Lepisosteus oculatus: one gene and its partner. The protein of the gene in region 1 purifies or fractionates together with the protein of each later gene. This does not show direct contact. Links are inferred from orthologs where the notes say so. Each region holds a gene or a part of one and is shown on either strand. Other genes may lie near its edges.

Region 1 (7,918 bases):
GCGCCCCTGAACCCCGGTGACGACTGTCCATACAGGAGAAAACTAACGCCGCTGCCCCCTTAAAGCACTGGTGCGGACGCCGAGGCTCGTGCTGACGAGGTTCGCTCCTGGGGGTCTGGCTTTTAAACCTGGCGAACACGGTGCGCGCTGGAGTCGCCCTGGAAACGCGCCGCGGCCCCCTCCCCGCGAGCTGCTCTGGCCCTGCCCCTCCAGGTGAGGCAGACAGGTGCGCGGGACGGTACCGGCGTGCCTTGGAGACCAGGCCGGGACAGGCGCTGCTCAGTGCTGATCTCATTAATCCGGAACCCACAGCACACCCTCTAGCCTGATGCAAGGCACCACGTCTTAGCAGTGAATTATAAAAATAATGTAACCAGCTAATAATGGTATCAAAGATTATTTCTTACATGTACAGTTGAATTAATTCACCTTATTCAGAAATACATTAAAACAGATCAGCAGTCCGTTCTTGTACGGTTCACAAAACGTCGTGTATTCAACTTGCATGTTTAGTTTATCCAGATTTGACTCCAGGGAGCTCCACACTGTAACTTAGGCTCCATCTAGCGACGGAGAACCGCATTACCTCGCAATCACTATTTCACATTGATATCTGCTAGAAATGTGGATATCATTTTGTTCATTCGTTTTCATTTATAAGAAGTTCTTGTCATGTGTGTGCATATGCGTACATTTTGTTTGGCAGACGGGTGTTGTTCAGTTTGAAAACCAGTCTATCCTTTATATAACTTTTCACGGAAATCCAAGCCTTTTGACTTCCAGCGAGTATCGTATTAAAGCAAGCAAGCACGTCACACTTCAGACTGTACCCTTGGAGATCTCCGCAACACGGCCCACTGAGACGTGCGGAGCTGCACGGACTGCGGTGCATTCCCCGGAAGATCTGAGCTGGACCTGCTGATCCTGAAAGCAACAGCGTCTTTAGTTTCGCTTGATGTTTATCTTCGCGTGGCTAATTTAAACGTTATTTATATTTCTGTTTGTAACACAAGAGACGTGACAAAGGAAAGAAAGCCGTTTAGAAGCTAACGATCCACGCCGTTTCTTGAAAGAAGTCAATCCTTCAGCAACCGGGCCGGACAGGTGTTCCCTGTTCCGCAGCTCTTTGTGTAAAGACTCCTCCTGTACTCAGTTGTAAATCAATCTCAGTTGCATTTCCAAATAGTTTCCACTTGCATCGTCTAGTTTCAATTTCACATAAGTCACGCTGATTAGGTACAATGTCAACATAACATCCCGTGATTCATGTTCTACACTTTCAAACATTTATCGTAGCACTTTGTTTGCCGTTTGTATCACTTACCCACATTGCCTATAAGAATTAAATGATGCATCACTATAAACACCCAATTCTTCATTAGTAGTGTCTTGAAGCAGTTTCCCATTTCATATTTATAGTTTATGTTTTTGGTATTCACAATTAAATGTAATCTGCCGGAAAATACATTTTATTTTATTTTTTGCCCTCCCTTGAATGTTCTCCAAGTCTTTTAAAACGTCTTTTGCTGCTTATGTAGTATTTGCTATATAGACTTGTATACTTTAATATCGGAACATTGATTGTTAGGAAAAGCCAGACTTGTCAGATCTCCTGTGGTACTGCACCACTCTGAGCATGCACATATCTGTACTGTGTTTTCTATTGGCCGATTCTGTGATGTTTAAAAAACAAAAACACCTGTTCCTGCGCTATTATGGATACTGGAAGATTCACTTGTAAGAGAAGCCAATGATGAACTCTATAGATATGATTGTGCTCTCAGAGGTCCCTTGTTTTCTTATACAAATAGGAAAACACGTATAACAGGTTTATTATCTGTAAGAATCCACTATTGTCAAAAATCAGAACAAAAGTAGTGCATCACTACTATTAGTGATTGTCTGCCAAACTATCCTACCAACACAAAACTCTTGACAGCTTTTAAATTCAAATATGCAGATGAGAATGCTGCAAAGTATTAAACAGAAACATTCACACAGATACAGGTCTCCAAAAATCAATTAACCTCATGAAATCAGGCTTCACGATGCTTTTATTTTATTTTGCGTAGAAAATCTGTTGCAGATGGAATGAGCTGGTAACTGGTTAAATGTCAGCCGCTATAAAAACCCAGAGTCTGCTTCTTCTCTTTAAGAGCCGGTGGAAAGACTGTAGGCAGTACTAGTGCACAGGAGTTACTGATGATACTGGCATCTGCATCAGCTGGTAATCGTAGCTGAAGCACGCTGATCACTTTGATTGTGAAGCACAACAGATGTCACAACAGTTCATCGGGTTAGGTGTTTTCTTTTAATTTTTAACCATGTTCCCGAAAATGTATTGCTTGTGTACTCCTTTCATTGGTGAAGAGATACCAGTTTCCAAAATGCCGCTGGTTCAACACGAGAGCCCATATTCACATTTTTAGGTATTAGTTTCAAGAGCGATATAATTTAACAATTAAAAACAACATTGAAAGCACGAGCATAACAATATAATGATCATAGACTTTACATTTCTATTCATTTTTGAAGTACAAAGCAGGTGTTTCCTCTACCTTAAATATACGATTAAAATTGTTCAAATACCATGTATTCCTTACAGAACATGTCGCGACATGATATGACATACCCCGACAAAAATGCCCTGTCCTATGTCGCGACATGGAGTCCGTATATCGCGATATGACATACCCTGACAAAATGCCCCACCCCCATGTCGTGACATGGAGTACATACATCGCGACACGTCTATCTGGGTATATCATGTCCTGATATGAGACCTGTTGCGATAGCTGTGGCAGGGTGGCATGGAAGCAAGGCGCCAGTCGTGATATACACTGCCGCGATATACATGCGATATACATGGGGTCCCTATCATGACAAGCTGCGGAGGTCTTGCCCGATGGTATCCCACAGTTACGCGTTTGGCAACAGGAAAAGTCACGGTAGGAAAAGAAAGGAAAAGGAAGAAAAGGAAAAACAGAGATCTTACAATCACGGTGATTTTACGTAAATTACAGCCACAGGTTCATGTCATAGATGGTTAACTTGTCGGCATGCGTCATGTCTTAGTATTATTCACATCTAAGGAGGCTCATATGTTTATGGATATTGATTGTCTTTATAATGTTAATGGTACGAGCTAAACTGTAACAGAGCGCTTGAACTCGGCAGACGGGGTCACTGGAGGTCAAAGTCACTGTGTATCTCGGGAACGAAAGCAGCACAAACGCTACTTTCAACGGCACAAACCGGCACAAACGTAGCGCTAACGAATGAGGTGGGTTTCATCGTTTGTGCTGTCTGTAGGGGGGGCAGCTTCACGGAGCTTTTAACTTGCCTTTACGTAAGGATTTCAGAGGTTGGAGTAAATGCATCGCCCCAAGGGTAATATCGAGTGAGGCTACATGAGAATAAAAACTGCGAAGGTATAAAAATATTAAGTTCTAAATTCTTGGTTGATCCTTCATAATGCTTTTAAACTTGTATGTGACCCACGAAATTAGTATTTTTTTCGATGCCAAAACCTAATTTGGAAATTCACACAAGACTTAACACTGAACTGTTATAGTCGCATTACAGTGCTGACCAATCCATCGTACCTTTAATTTTAAGAATGGTCTGCTAATAAAAGCGTCAAATACATACTTAGGATGTATTTTAGCGCTGTAAACGTCGTTCACTTAAAAATACTGCAGGGCATTTAGAGGCGATCTGAATAATTATCTGTAAATGCATACTCGCATCTATCTGTCAACATTATCTCAATGTTATTCATGCATTCCAAAACATGTAATTTGTTTACAGGAGATATTTTAGGACCTCTTCGTGCTTAACTCCTACAGGTCGAGCATGTATCTGCTGCTTGTGTTCGGGAAGCCAGGCTGTACTCCTCAAAACCCAAGATGCCTGTAGCATCTCATGTGTCTTATTTGTTTCGGGACTGGTCTGGTCATCTACAGGCGGCTTTTTGAAAAGCGTAGATACACTTGATCTTAGCCAAAAGGCCGATATTTCCCCAGAAATCGCGTTAATTACAATGAAATACTGATCAAAATTAATAGAAATATTGTATTAACAAACTCGATGTAATTATATATTTCAACGTCAGCATTGATTAATTGTTTAATCCAAATTATACCATTCTTAACCCAATTTTAAAAACAAGGTTTTATTTCTAACTTTTATATAAAGTTGTTCCAAATAGTAAATCTATGAGGGGAAAAGTTATGTTTACACATAAGTGACCACGTTAGAAGTACGTTTATGAAAACTAGGAAGTTTCAAGGGGATTTTTCCAATGTCAAAGTTACACTTAAGTAAAAACTCTATACCCCTAATTCTTGAAATATCAAATTGGGGATTATATGCCACATACTTTGCTAATTATTTTAATAGTTTTGTATCCATTTAATCTTAAAAATAGCATTAGATGTCCTAAAATCTAAAGCATTTAAGCCCCCTTCTGCCTGTGGACGACAAAGAATCTATTTTTTAGGATATTGCGGTTTTTGCGTGTGTACATGTGGCAGAGCCGGAAGCCGGTGAAGTCCCGTGCTGCGGACACGATGATTGGCGGATCGCTTGCAGCCTGTGTGTTACGTCAGCTTGCTGCTGCGAGAGGTGTCTGGGTCCTGGGACGGTGTCGGCTGGTCTGGAGAATTTAGCCGGTTCGCTTTGTGCGGGATTAAGCGGAGGGGAGAAACAGGCACTATTGGAGGGTGTTCTGGCGAGGGTAGGTATATCCGATATTGGGCCGTGTGTGTGTGTGTGGGATGTGGGGAGACAGGAGGTCTGTTGTCTGCAGTTTGACCTCTGTTCTTGTGCGCTTCTTTATGACGATCCTGAGTGCCAAGCGGCAGATGTTCGCGTGTGTTAGTGAGCGCTTTTTGATGATGAGTTTACGTAGGATGTTCAGGGGGTTTCTGTGAGTTTGAGCTTTTTTAAAAAAATAACAGTCGTCTGCTGGCGTTTGCGGATGAACTGGTTACTGGTTCCCATTGGAGATGCGCAGTCCGCACACCGGTGTGTGTGCCATCTGAAGGCGAGAGCCGTGCAGGATTGCATCAGCGCTTCTGCGTCTCTTCATATCGCTGTCAGATCGATGCTTTTGGAGAACATTAAACTGCTCCAGTCGTGCTGTATGTTCTTAGGAAGAGAATCGCTGAAGTGTAATGAAACCGCTCTCCAGAGGGTGCGGGCAGCGCTGTGTCAGCTCTCGGAGTCCCGACTGAGCAACAGGCACGCTGGCCTCCTCTGACCCACACCCCAGGTCACAAAGGGAAGTGGGGGAGACCACACAGAGCCCCAGCACCAGCCCGAAGCACACCATACAAGCTGTGGTTGGAAATTTGTTTTGTTTTTTTTTAGAAATAACCTTCAGGTCCTGCTCTGGTATTTCAGTGTTTGTATTTACTTTTGCGCAATTTCCTGTTGACTCTCACTTGCAGTAAGTACAGTCTGCTCTGGAGGGTTAGCGCCAAAGTCAATACTACACTGTTTACCTCCTAGCTGGGCTCAGGTTAGCTGTAGTACTTCCAGCTCAGCTACAGTGACCAGCCTGTTTTTTCATGAAGCCGAGAAGCCGAGGTTTCTACAGGAGTTTCTTCTTTCTTATGTGAAACATGGCCGTCTGCTGGGAGTCTGGTACAGGTACAGCAATATCGGCACTGAAAAGGGAAACCTTTCATGTTTTGTATTTAGCCAATTGCTATATTTCTATATAAAGAGGCTCAATAGAATTGTCAAGGCAAGTGCTGAGTTCTGATGCACTGAACAGTCTTGCAGGCAGGCTTGTCTGGTGTAGATGAAGAGAGCAGGAGTACGGGCTACAGTGTGGGCACTGATGAGCAGAGAGCAGGAGTACAGGGAACAGAGTGGACACGTCACAGTGTGGGGCGGTGCTCCAGGCTGTGTAGTCTGTGGGTTCAGTCCCAGATGGAGACACAGCTGTAGTCTTGCTGGTGCCCAAGCTGCTCCAACAAACTGAACACCAAACAAACAGGAAACACTAGTCTGTAAAAAAGAAGTAAAAGTAGACACCCATACATTTTTTCTTATTAAAGCATTACTCATATTAAAAATACTCAGATTGAAGTTTTTCTCTGAATTCTTTGGCTGTGTCCACATATCCAGGGTTATTTACAAGGCATTTTTCCACCAGGATCAAGTTTGCTCTGGCACTTAGGGAAGTGGTTGGAAAACGGTAGGGGTGCAGAGATCTCCAGGAATCCAATCTACCGGAAATGAGGTTGGTGGAAAAAAGAGGAATGAAATGAGTGTTGTATGAGTCAGAAACCCGGAGTGTGCCGTGGGCACCAGTGCAGACTGACCAGACCAGGTCTCCAGAGTCCCGCTCTTCAGGGGAAGGTTTGTCTTTCCGTTGAAGTGGGTCTCTGAATGAGCAACTCCTGAGGTCAGAGCTGCTGCTGACTCCCACCCAGGCAGAAGGTTTGTGTTGTTCAGTCAGTAAACGCCGAGCTGTGTTTTAATTAATGCGCTGTTGTCGTGGAACTTTGCAGTAGGGAGCTAGGATTGAGCCCTGCAGGGGGTCAAGAATGAGTATTGTGTGTTCCCTTTCTGACAGACTGGATCAGAAAGCTGCAAAGGGAGGGAAAGCAGTCTGCTCTTGATTAAGAGCTGTTATTTACCCAAGGTCACAATTTACCAGCACCACAATGCTTCTCTGAGGTTTGGTAGACGCTGAATCCCTGAGACTTGTCTGCATTTCAGTTCTTCATCACACTGAGCTCCTAAAACACTTCCCACCAGCCCCTTTCAGCACAGCATTGGTCCTTCGGGGATGTGTAATTTCAGGGATGTTCAGGAATGTTTTTTGGTATGTGGAAGCTGTAGGTACTGGCACCCACCTACATCATTTATATAACACCATTATAATCTCAAAATTGTTGCAGTTATAACATTATGCCTGTACTCAAAGCACCAATGACCTTGCATCTGTAAAAAGTTCTTTATGTTTAAAGCACTTCTTTTGTTAACAATACGTCCTTGGGATAATGACACGCAGCGCGTAGACTGCAGGCAGCTACAAATTCAGTTTTTGAAAACAGAAAGGCTAGAAAGGAAAGCCATCTCGCTGCTGGAAGAGGGGGTTGGGTGGGATTGAGGATTGTAACTTCTGTTATCTGGCTGTAAAGAGGAAATGGGCGGAGAAAGAAAAAGGAGAGAGAAACTTTTTCTTCCTTTCATGCTGCTGTATGGTGCCTTAAGTTCAGTCCTGAAATAAAGGCCTGGTGTTTGCTTCACCTCTCTAGCCTGGACTCTGATTCTTTTCCTGGCCTGCTGAAGAGGGTTACACTCATCCATCTGCCTTGACTGTAAACCAGAAGCACACTCAGGGTCAAGGTCAGAGATATAGCCCAGGAAGCAGTAACCAGATGGTCACAGAGGGCCTGTTTCTTGAGTGCTCTCTTGTGCTCTGGAGAGGAACTGATCTGTCTGCTCGTTGCAGTGAAACTCATTACATTCCAGATTATGAATAAACGGAACACAGATCTGCAGGGGCCAGAAAAACTCAAAGTTGTCAACAGTGAAGTCAAATAAGACTTGTGTTTCTCTGAATGAGAACATTTATGAAGTAATGTACTAACTGCATCATCTACATTGACTTTCCTACATGTTCCGGCATGCAGACTGAAGGAAGCTGACTATTCTCTTAACCTGAACTATGTGATGTAGATCCTGAGTTATGTCATGAGCCACTCAAGATACTTCTTTACAGTGGTTGTTACAGCTACTGGAAAAGTGGTAGTTATGGCCGAATGGCCACTTTCTGAAACCAGACAGACAATGGGTGATTTCCATCGACAGGGAATGGAGTGATTTCCCTGCCAGAGGAAATAAAGAGAGAGACAGCAGAAGGCAAGAAAGAGGGTGTTTAACAGTACAGATTGAC
Region 2 (7,998 bases), on another chromosome or scaffold:
GTGGCCTGTGTGGGTCCTAATGCCCCAGTATAGTGACGGGGACACTATACTGTAAAAAAAGTCACTGTCCTGCAGATGAGACATAAAACTGAGGTCCTGACTCTCTGTGGTCATTAAAAATCCCAGGGCAAATCTCCCCTGCAAGATATTGAGACTCAGTGACTTGTAAGTGTTTTCACACACACACACACACACACACACACCATGGTGCTTCCGGGACGCCCTGTACCTCGAACAGCATGCTCCACAGCATGCCCCGGCCCAGGTTGTCAACCACCACATCCAGCCAGGCCCCGAACTCCGACGTCTGGTTCAGGCGCCGGGCTGCCCAGCCGTCCACCCCTGAGATACCGAACACAGACACCCTGTCACTGCGCTGGTCTGGACTGGGCCCCGGGGTCTGGAGACACAGACACCCCGTCCCTGCGCCGGTCTGGACTGGGCCCCGGGGTCTGGAGACACAGACACCCCGTCACTGCGCCGGTCTGGACTGGGCCCCGGGGTCTGGAGACACAGACACCCCGTCCCTGCGCCGGTCTGGACTGGGCCCCGGGGTCTGGAGACACAGACACCCCGTCACAGCCAGGGAACTATAGTCCCTCTCGACAAAATTAAAATCAGGCTTTCAATATCAGTACCCTGTATTCTTCTGTTGCTTTGCCTTCTGCTTTCCCACTCAGTAGACCTACTATACAAAGTTTCCTCACCATCCAGTATGATGGAAATGACGTAGCAGGGGATGAAAACCTCAGGCTCGTGGAAGTAAGCCCAGGCGATGCCCAGCAGCAGGACCCGGATGTACCCTGTGCGACAAGAGATCACCTGTGAGAGGAGTGACGTCACTGACGGACCTTGGCCTTTATTATCTCTAACTATCTCCATCTAGGTGCGTGCAGCAGTGTCCATCTGAACACAAACGGCCCAAAGATGTATTGTTAAACGTAAGATTCCCTCAATTAAGATGGCATAAACACAGAACGGCACTACGCGAGCAGCCGTCGCGTTGGGAAGCCAGCGCGTCGCTCGCCGACACGCTTCTTAACCGTGCCTGGCTGGCGTACATATTGTTTTCGTTCCTCACCAATAACATTCGGGACGAACAGTAACACCTCCAGTCCCATTTCATCCCCTCCGGAGCGACGCCCGCCCCCTCGCCGACTGCACAGTCTCCACTTCCCGCACGGCTCCGCGGCTCGGCAGGAAGGGCAACTTCATCTCATCAGCTCAATATCACCTCCTGCAGCGCCCGTGACGTCGGCTACGGGGGAGAGGAAACAGCACCTCATTAACATACGCGGCGAGACGTCTGAGGGCCAGCTTGTCAAGCCCCGTTTCCACGAGAGTTTCTGCGGGAAGAGCGCCGTGGCGCCCTGAATTACTCCACCGACCGACCACCGTCACCCCTCCGCGTCTGTCTTCCTGATGCGCCGAGCCCGTCACCTCCACAGCAACGCGGGCAAACACGCTTCCTCTGCGTGTTTGTCTATTTAATTTTTGGTTCAAACTTTTATTTACGGTCATTATAATCCGATCGAAGAACAAAAGGTATCCGAAAAAAATGAGAGATAAGAGGGTGTAGCGTTGGACCTTTTTGTTTTGTGATTATGATATATAGGAAGTATTACCTACAGATTAACTGTAAATAAATGTTATTTTTCCATAGAACATCTACTTCCTCAGCGTTTCTCCTGTCAGGACACTTCGGCGGCAACCAGTAAGCCGCTGACCTCTGCAATGATAACTTTTCTCTTCAAGCATTTGAATGTGGGTGTTAGATCTAAGATGTTTGATATGATGTTATGCTGTACAATGGGAAAAGATCGTGTATTTCTAATCAATTATTGATAACGGATATAAATCGCATCCACAAAACAAAATGGACCAATACTACCCCCCTTCAATGCTTATAAGGCGGAAATACAATATTCCTTCAACTCCATAAAAGGCTAGAAAAAAACAAGGCAAAAAACACAATTGGCGTGTGTAAAATTGTAACCTGTCGTGTTCAGATTTGTAATTATCTCTGGCAATATATTGTTCTGGGTGTTTTTTTTTTGTTGACTTGTCTTTTTCCATCCATTTTCTCTTTTATCATGTATTAATGTTCAATAAAACTTGACTTTTTAATATCGGTAACCACAGTGGCACCAATGTGTTTCGAACATAGAAATGGTCCTACTAACGGTAGGGTATTTTATAAATATCGGAGTTTATTCCGTAAGTCAACCAAATTTCAAAACAAAACCGCTATTAGTTTATCAATAACTTGCTTGATCTGTTTTCATTTGTTTCAAGGTGATGCGCTGTATTTCTCCCTGAGGCCACTTGAGGTCGCTATAACATTATTGGGATCCTTTCCGGACGGGCCTGCAGGCCTCACCAGAATGAGCACATGAGACAGGTCACAGTCGAACCCGGGACTGACTGTCGTTGCTCTTGCCTGGTCTGATTCCAGAGCCAGCGTTAGTTTTTTTGTTTTGTAATGTGGTGACCAGAATTGTATACGATATTCTAAATGTGGTCTTGGAATTTTCTGCAATTTAGACAACATCACTTGCTTGAAATTAATCACTTTTAATGTCATGATAGTCTGTTTAACATTTTTTATGGCCTAGAAGACGACAATGATGTGCTAACAAGACAGTCCAAGACAGTATGAGCTGTTTATCATGCCTGTGGTTTGTTTGTGATACTGCATTCAACACTGTGCACCTGTGTAATTTTAATTTACTCTGTAAACTGTTTGCTCAGACGTCTTGAAAGCGCTGTTTAAATACTTTCAAATCCTTTGTCATTTCTACAACATTTGCCAGCTCTCCCGTATCTGATATCAACACCAAGAAGGCATTATAAATGTTTGTTTTTTCTTCCACTCCCACGTTTAAATCGCAGGCTGATTCCAGCGTCCTGTTTGTGGAAGTTGTAATAGTCCGTGAATGATGTGCGTTGTTTGACTACTCCTTTTTCAGACTACGTCTCCGTGTACAGTCCAGTTCAGAGGAAGTGAATTTGCTAAAATAAGTTTCACATCTCGGGTTCTTCTAAGGTCACCATTATGTGGCTGATCTAGTACAAGTCACAACTGGATTGCTAGGACAATAAAATGAAGAGAAAGAGGAAGGCAAGCGAACCAGTATTGTAGACCAGACCAGAAGAAACCCAACAGCATTGTTGCTTCTTGCTCTTTATTGGTAGAGAATTAATGAGAACAATACATCCTGTCTCTTAGTTCATCTAAACGAGTGTATTGATCTATGTTCCTCTTTACTATCTTGATTTGCTCCTCTTGCATTTTATATCTATTTCCTCTCAATGGGATTGTAATTTATCTTTGCCTTCGGCGCTGCTTACAGTCAAAGTTAGATGCAGTCCTTTTAGGCAAGGCAGCTGGTGTCGGATCCGCACTTACAAGGGAGGTTATCTTGTTCCAGAGTCATATTCTGATCTCTCACAAGCCAAAAGCCCTAAACGTTTTAGCTGTCAAATCGTGTCATTTCCCGTCCGAAAGCGATCCGATCATTTTCAGGGGTGTGTCTCGGGGTCTGCTCCCTGATTGGCCGAGACCTGGTCCCGGGGGGTGGAGCCAGCAGGGACAGTCAAACCTTGGTCCGGAGCTTCCGGTCATATATATCCGTATCCATTAACACCACGAAAGGGCTCATTCACCTGCGGTTTAATACAGGCTAACACTACACAAACACACTTACTTTCATTTCCCAACAGAATAATTATGCGCAAATGAGGCATAAAACGGGTTTTCAAAGCGCACTTTTTTTTAGCAAACGATAAAAACTGTAATTAATCAGTTGGCCCAATAATTAATGCAGCTGACTAATTAAGAGCTGATCTGAGACGAAGGCCCTTTGTCCCTCGAGCGTGTGGGTTCGAGACCTTTTACTATATTACTGTAAATCTCAGCTGGCGTAATTAGAATGATGTAAAAAAACAGTAATTGCCTTTAAAACAGAACTATGCTTTAACCTCTCAATAGGAAATGAGACCTCTTGTGACTCGAAACCTCAAAGACCATAAATCGTGGAGACAGTAAGTCTTGTGCACGATATATTGTCTAGGTCTTTCCTTCAGGGCTGTCTGTTTCCGTTCACAGGAAAACTTTCGCTGGTTCGCAGTATTTATTTACATAATTAAATTTTAATAAAATCAAATGGTTCATGATATACCAACTAACACTTTAAAGTGGGGGTTAATCCAGTCCTGAAGCAATCATGAAATTTAATTCTGCAAATTTCTTATATAAATCGTGTGAACATTACTGCAGTATTCCTACGAATACTAAAACAGTAGTCATTGTTTATTAAATGAAGTATGCAGACATTTTTTACATAAATTACTATTTCGCTCCTACTTGCTATTCGGTTGGTTCCTTTTGTCTGCAAATAGTTTAAAGTTATAAGATATTATTAAGTATGTATTTAATACATAATAGAAAGCAGAAGAGTATCAAGCATGGTGATGCACTTCACATGATTTTTTTCTCTTACTGTTAAGAGCTTTGAGAAGTTGATTTTGAAGACACTATATTATTATTATTATTATTATTATTATTATTATTATAGCGCTATTGATGCAGGAGAAATCCATTATCTTCGCTTCGCTCGCGCCAGCGGTGCAGTCAATGTCCTCGCGCCCGGCGCCTGCGCGCTGCAGTGCCGCTGTAGCTGTTTTCCTACCTCGTCAGGTGACCCGACATTAGGTTCGGTCATGTGACCAAGTATGGAGGCGTCGGCGAGGAAGAGCGTCATTCGGCGAAAACACTGAGGCTACGGTGGTGTTGGCATCGAGCGCACGACAAACCAGGGGGAAAAAAAAACAGGCAGCAGGCACCGGGTCCCCCCTACAGAATCATATCTCGCATTGTTGTGAAATGAGGGCAACATGGGCGCCAAGGAGTCGCGGATAGGGTTCCTGTCGTATGACGAGGCCGTTAAGAGAGGTGAGTGCTGTTACCGCTGGAGAAGGTGGGACTGAACACCCTGCGGTCAGTGACAGCAAGCGGGGCTCGCCTTGTTTACCGCACGGCTGCGGGGGGATCTGGAGCGCTGTCGGTTTCCCAGGCGGGCTGCAGGAGGCGAGGCGGTGTTGACAAGTGTCGTGTCCGTACTGAAGCTGCCCGGGGCGCTCGGTCGCTGAGGTGCTGGGTTCTGAAAGCCGAAGGAACCGCGATTCAGCAGAATTGTACAGAGGGGCAGGGGAGAATCTGGGGATCCGGGGTGAAGCGAATATTTTTTGTTTATTTTTCTGCGTTTTGTTCCAATTGGCCGAGGCCGAGCTCCGCTATCGGAATGTGACACTGTAGTACTAAGCAGCTTAAGTGATCCGGCACAACCCATTAGCAAATAAGGCTCAGAATACCAACAGGAATGAAGCCAGGCCGCCGATAACGTGTGTGCCCTGTAGTTGTGTGTGGCGAGCAATAATGATGGATAATCGTTAATTTAGGAGAGGAAGATTGCCTTTTTTTACTTTGGAGCTCAGGTCGGTACAGGACATTTACCAGATCTCCACCTTTGGAGGAAAGCGAGAGATCGCCCCTGTCATGCACGCCTAAAGCGTAAACAGCACTTTCTTTAATGATCGTTTAACGTTTATTTTGGTTTTTAATAGTTACACCAAACGCAGACTGAAAGCCCTTTCAAAACGCCCGTATGGGTGCATTGTTGTGGTGTCACTGTATCAAGGCCTTACTGCAAGGAAGTCTTCAGTAGCAGATTAATTTAGTGTTTTGTGTTACAGTTTCTGCTTTATGAAAGGCATTGACACTACACTTGAGACAAGCCCTTAGTTGTCATAATGGGTAAAATTTGAGATTGGATGCTTGGACATCCGACTGACAAACTCCCCTTGAAATGAGAACTTCTCACTTTGTTTTATTTTAAATGGAATAGTGGCCAGTGGCCTCAACACCCTCTGCTTTCTAATCCACAATGGTGTGTGCATCGGAGATCTGTCATCTGCAGATAAGCAGTGCAAGCAGGGCACCTCTGAAGAGCGTGTGAACAAGATGATGATGCACACCAGAACTGCAGAGCTCTCTGGTGTGTTAACAGCAAAACAATCATCAAAGTTAGTTTAAACTGTATTTGTTATTTATCTAATGGGGTTATTATTCTTGCATTCTTGCAAACTGCATTCTCTTACTATCCATTACTTAATCATTTGAGAAAAAATGCTGTGCCTGTGTATGAGTATCTATGTGTCGCAACACTGTTACTGTACGACAGTATTTATAGGCACGTTCTATTAGCACAGACTTCAGTTCCCTTCCCAGTAATCCAGTCTGTTTACTGGTGTAACCCTGTCATTTTCAGCAGCAGCAATCAGGACTCACTTTGGCATGTAATACCAAATAACGGCATGATAAATCAGAGCTGTTTATCTACAAAAAGGACAGGTCATTAAACTTTGAGCCAGTGCTGAAATAAGTAATAGTTTGCATTTATATAATTTCACTGCTGAAAACCAGATATTTAAGTGGGGAAAAAAAATTGCTTCTAATCTCTGTAGACAATGCGATAGAGAAAATATCATTCTGGCTTTTGCTAAAGACGTCTCCCAGACTCATTTATCACATCTACCCAAATTAACATTCCTGCAAACACTAGCTGATTTCTGTGTGAAGCAAGCAGTCTACATTAGTACAGAGCAGAAAGGGAAAAAAATGGATTTCAGTAGTAATGATGGTAATTTTACTCTTTTCTAAGCAGTGCAATGTTTATGAGGGTTAAATGAGAACGTATTGTACATAGTCCCTGGCAAACAATTATATTGAATTAAGTCAAGTACCACTGCAGCTTTGAACTTTTGCAGACTTTGCATTTTTGAATAAATATTGTCTGCAAAAAAATGTAGAGGTGGTTAGGATTGGAGAGGATTGGGGGGAGGGCTCTTCCGAGCTCTACATTTCCAATGTGAACGCCAATTAGAGACCAGCACCAGTGATTAAGTAGTCTGGTTAATTGCTACAGCACACGGTACTGTGTGGGGAAGCCCCTGAGGGGGAAGTGTTCTCTGACAGGAGCAGTTCTGTCTTCTCTTTCATTGCATTTGTGGCTGATGACGCATCAAATAATTTGCAGGGGTTTTACACCTGGTGTCCTACAGGGAAAAAAGATCTAGCATTGATCATATCGCTATTGCTCATTTGCAAATTTACTCTTTTTTAAAAACGTCTTGGGGATGGGGAGACACAAATGAAAGTGCAGACATTATCCTTTTTTTTTCCCTAGTAATTTCATGTTTCAACCTGTGCTGTTGAACAGAGACCTAAAGCCTGTACTGTTTTCTGGTCACCAGAGCCTTCTGTGTATTTTGAGAGGTGACTGTACTGCGAGAGTCGAGTTTGCTGCAGTTGAGCAAACTCACAGGGGTTAGTTTTAAGGTTAGCGCTTGCAAGGTGTAGTCTACTGCTGGTATGAATACTGTTCTAGCATCAGATCTTAAATTTTACCCATTATGACAACTTGTAAGGTATAGTCTACTGCTGATATGAGTAATCAAGTTAAAGCTATGGTGTAGTTTTACCTGCATGCCTGCTCAGATATCATGGTCAGGTAGATATAGAATAGGTGTGTGAAAGCTGTGTCAACAGTTTTCTGGCTGTTTTTCCAAGCTGAAGAGCAAAGTACCTGAACATTCAGCTGTTTCTCTGTGTCTGCTGTGTGCATACATTGTATTTATTTCTGATCAAGAAAACAATTTCCCTTTAGCTAATGTCCTTTCACATTGGTGTAAAACATGGTATTTTTGTGCCCTTTCCCAATTCAGATCCTTGGATGTTCTTATCCACAGTATGAGGTGTGTATGCAGGAAACACAAAGAGAATATGGTTTGCTTGGAAAGTTTTGCATGATTGTCAGTGTTAGTGCTTACTTAGGATGATAAGTATAGTGTGCTATCAGCTTTATTCAGTTTTCTCTTTAAGAGTTAAGAATTACAGTATAAAACAGATATAGAAAATTTAAAATCATGAACAGTTTT

The links. Proteins that work in one complex are often made in the same cells at the same time.
Region 2: the proteins of slc31a1 (region 1) and usp32 purify together in Homo sapiens (co-immunoprecipitation; 3 studies listed by BioGRID and IntAct, with this or other methods). This does not show direct contact. The link is inferred for Lepisosteus oculatus from reciprocal best matches to the Homo sapiens genes SLC31A1 and USP32.

What each region holds. Positions count from the first base shown.
Region 1 is NC_090719.1:255,548-263,465, forward strand, and holds the start of slc31a1 (high affinity copper uptake protein 1), read left to right. Parts: upstream 1-4,551; 5' UTR 4,552-4,738; intron 4,739-5,485; exon of another isoform or gene 5,486-5,655; intron 5,656-6,166; 5' UTR 6,167-6,248; coding exon 6,249-6,253; intron 6,254-7,918.
Region 2 is NC_090721.1:8,329,593-8,337,590, forward strand, and holds the start of usp32 (ubiquitin carboxyl-terminal hydrolase 32), read left to right. Parts: upstream 1-4,724; 5' UTR 4,725-4,896; coding exon 4,897-4,954; intron 4,955-7,998. Other genes in the region: si:ch1073-145m9.1 (CDP-diacylglycerol--glycerol-3-phosphate 3-phosphatidyltransferase), read right to left, coding at 230-342, 708-803, 1,082-1,121. UniProt on the Homo sapiens protein: Deubiquitinase that can remove conjugated ubiquitin from target proteins, such as RAB7A and LAMTOR1.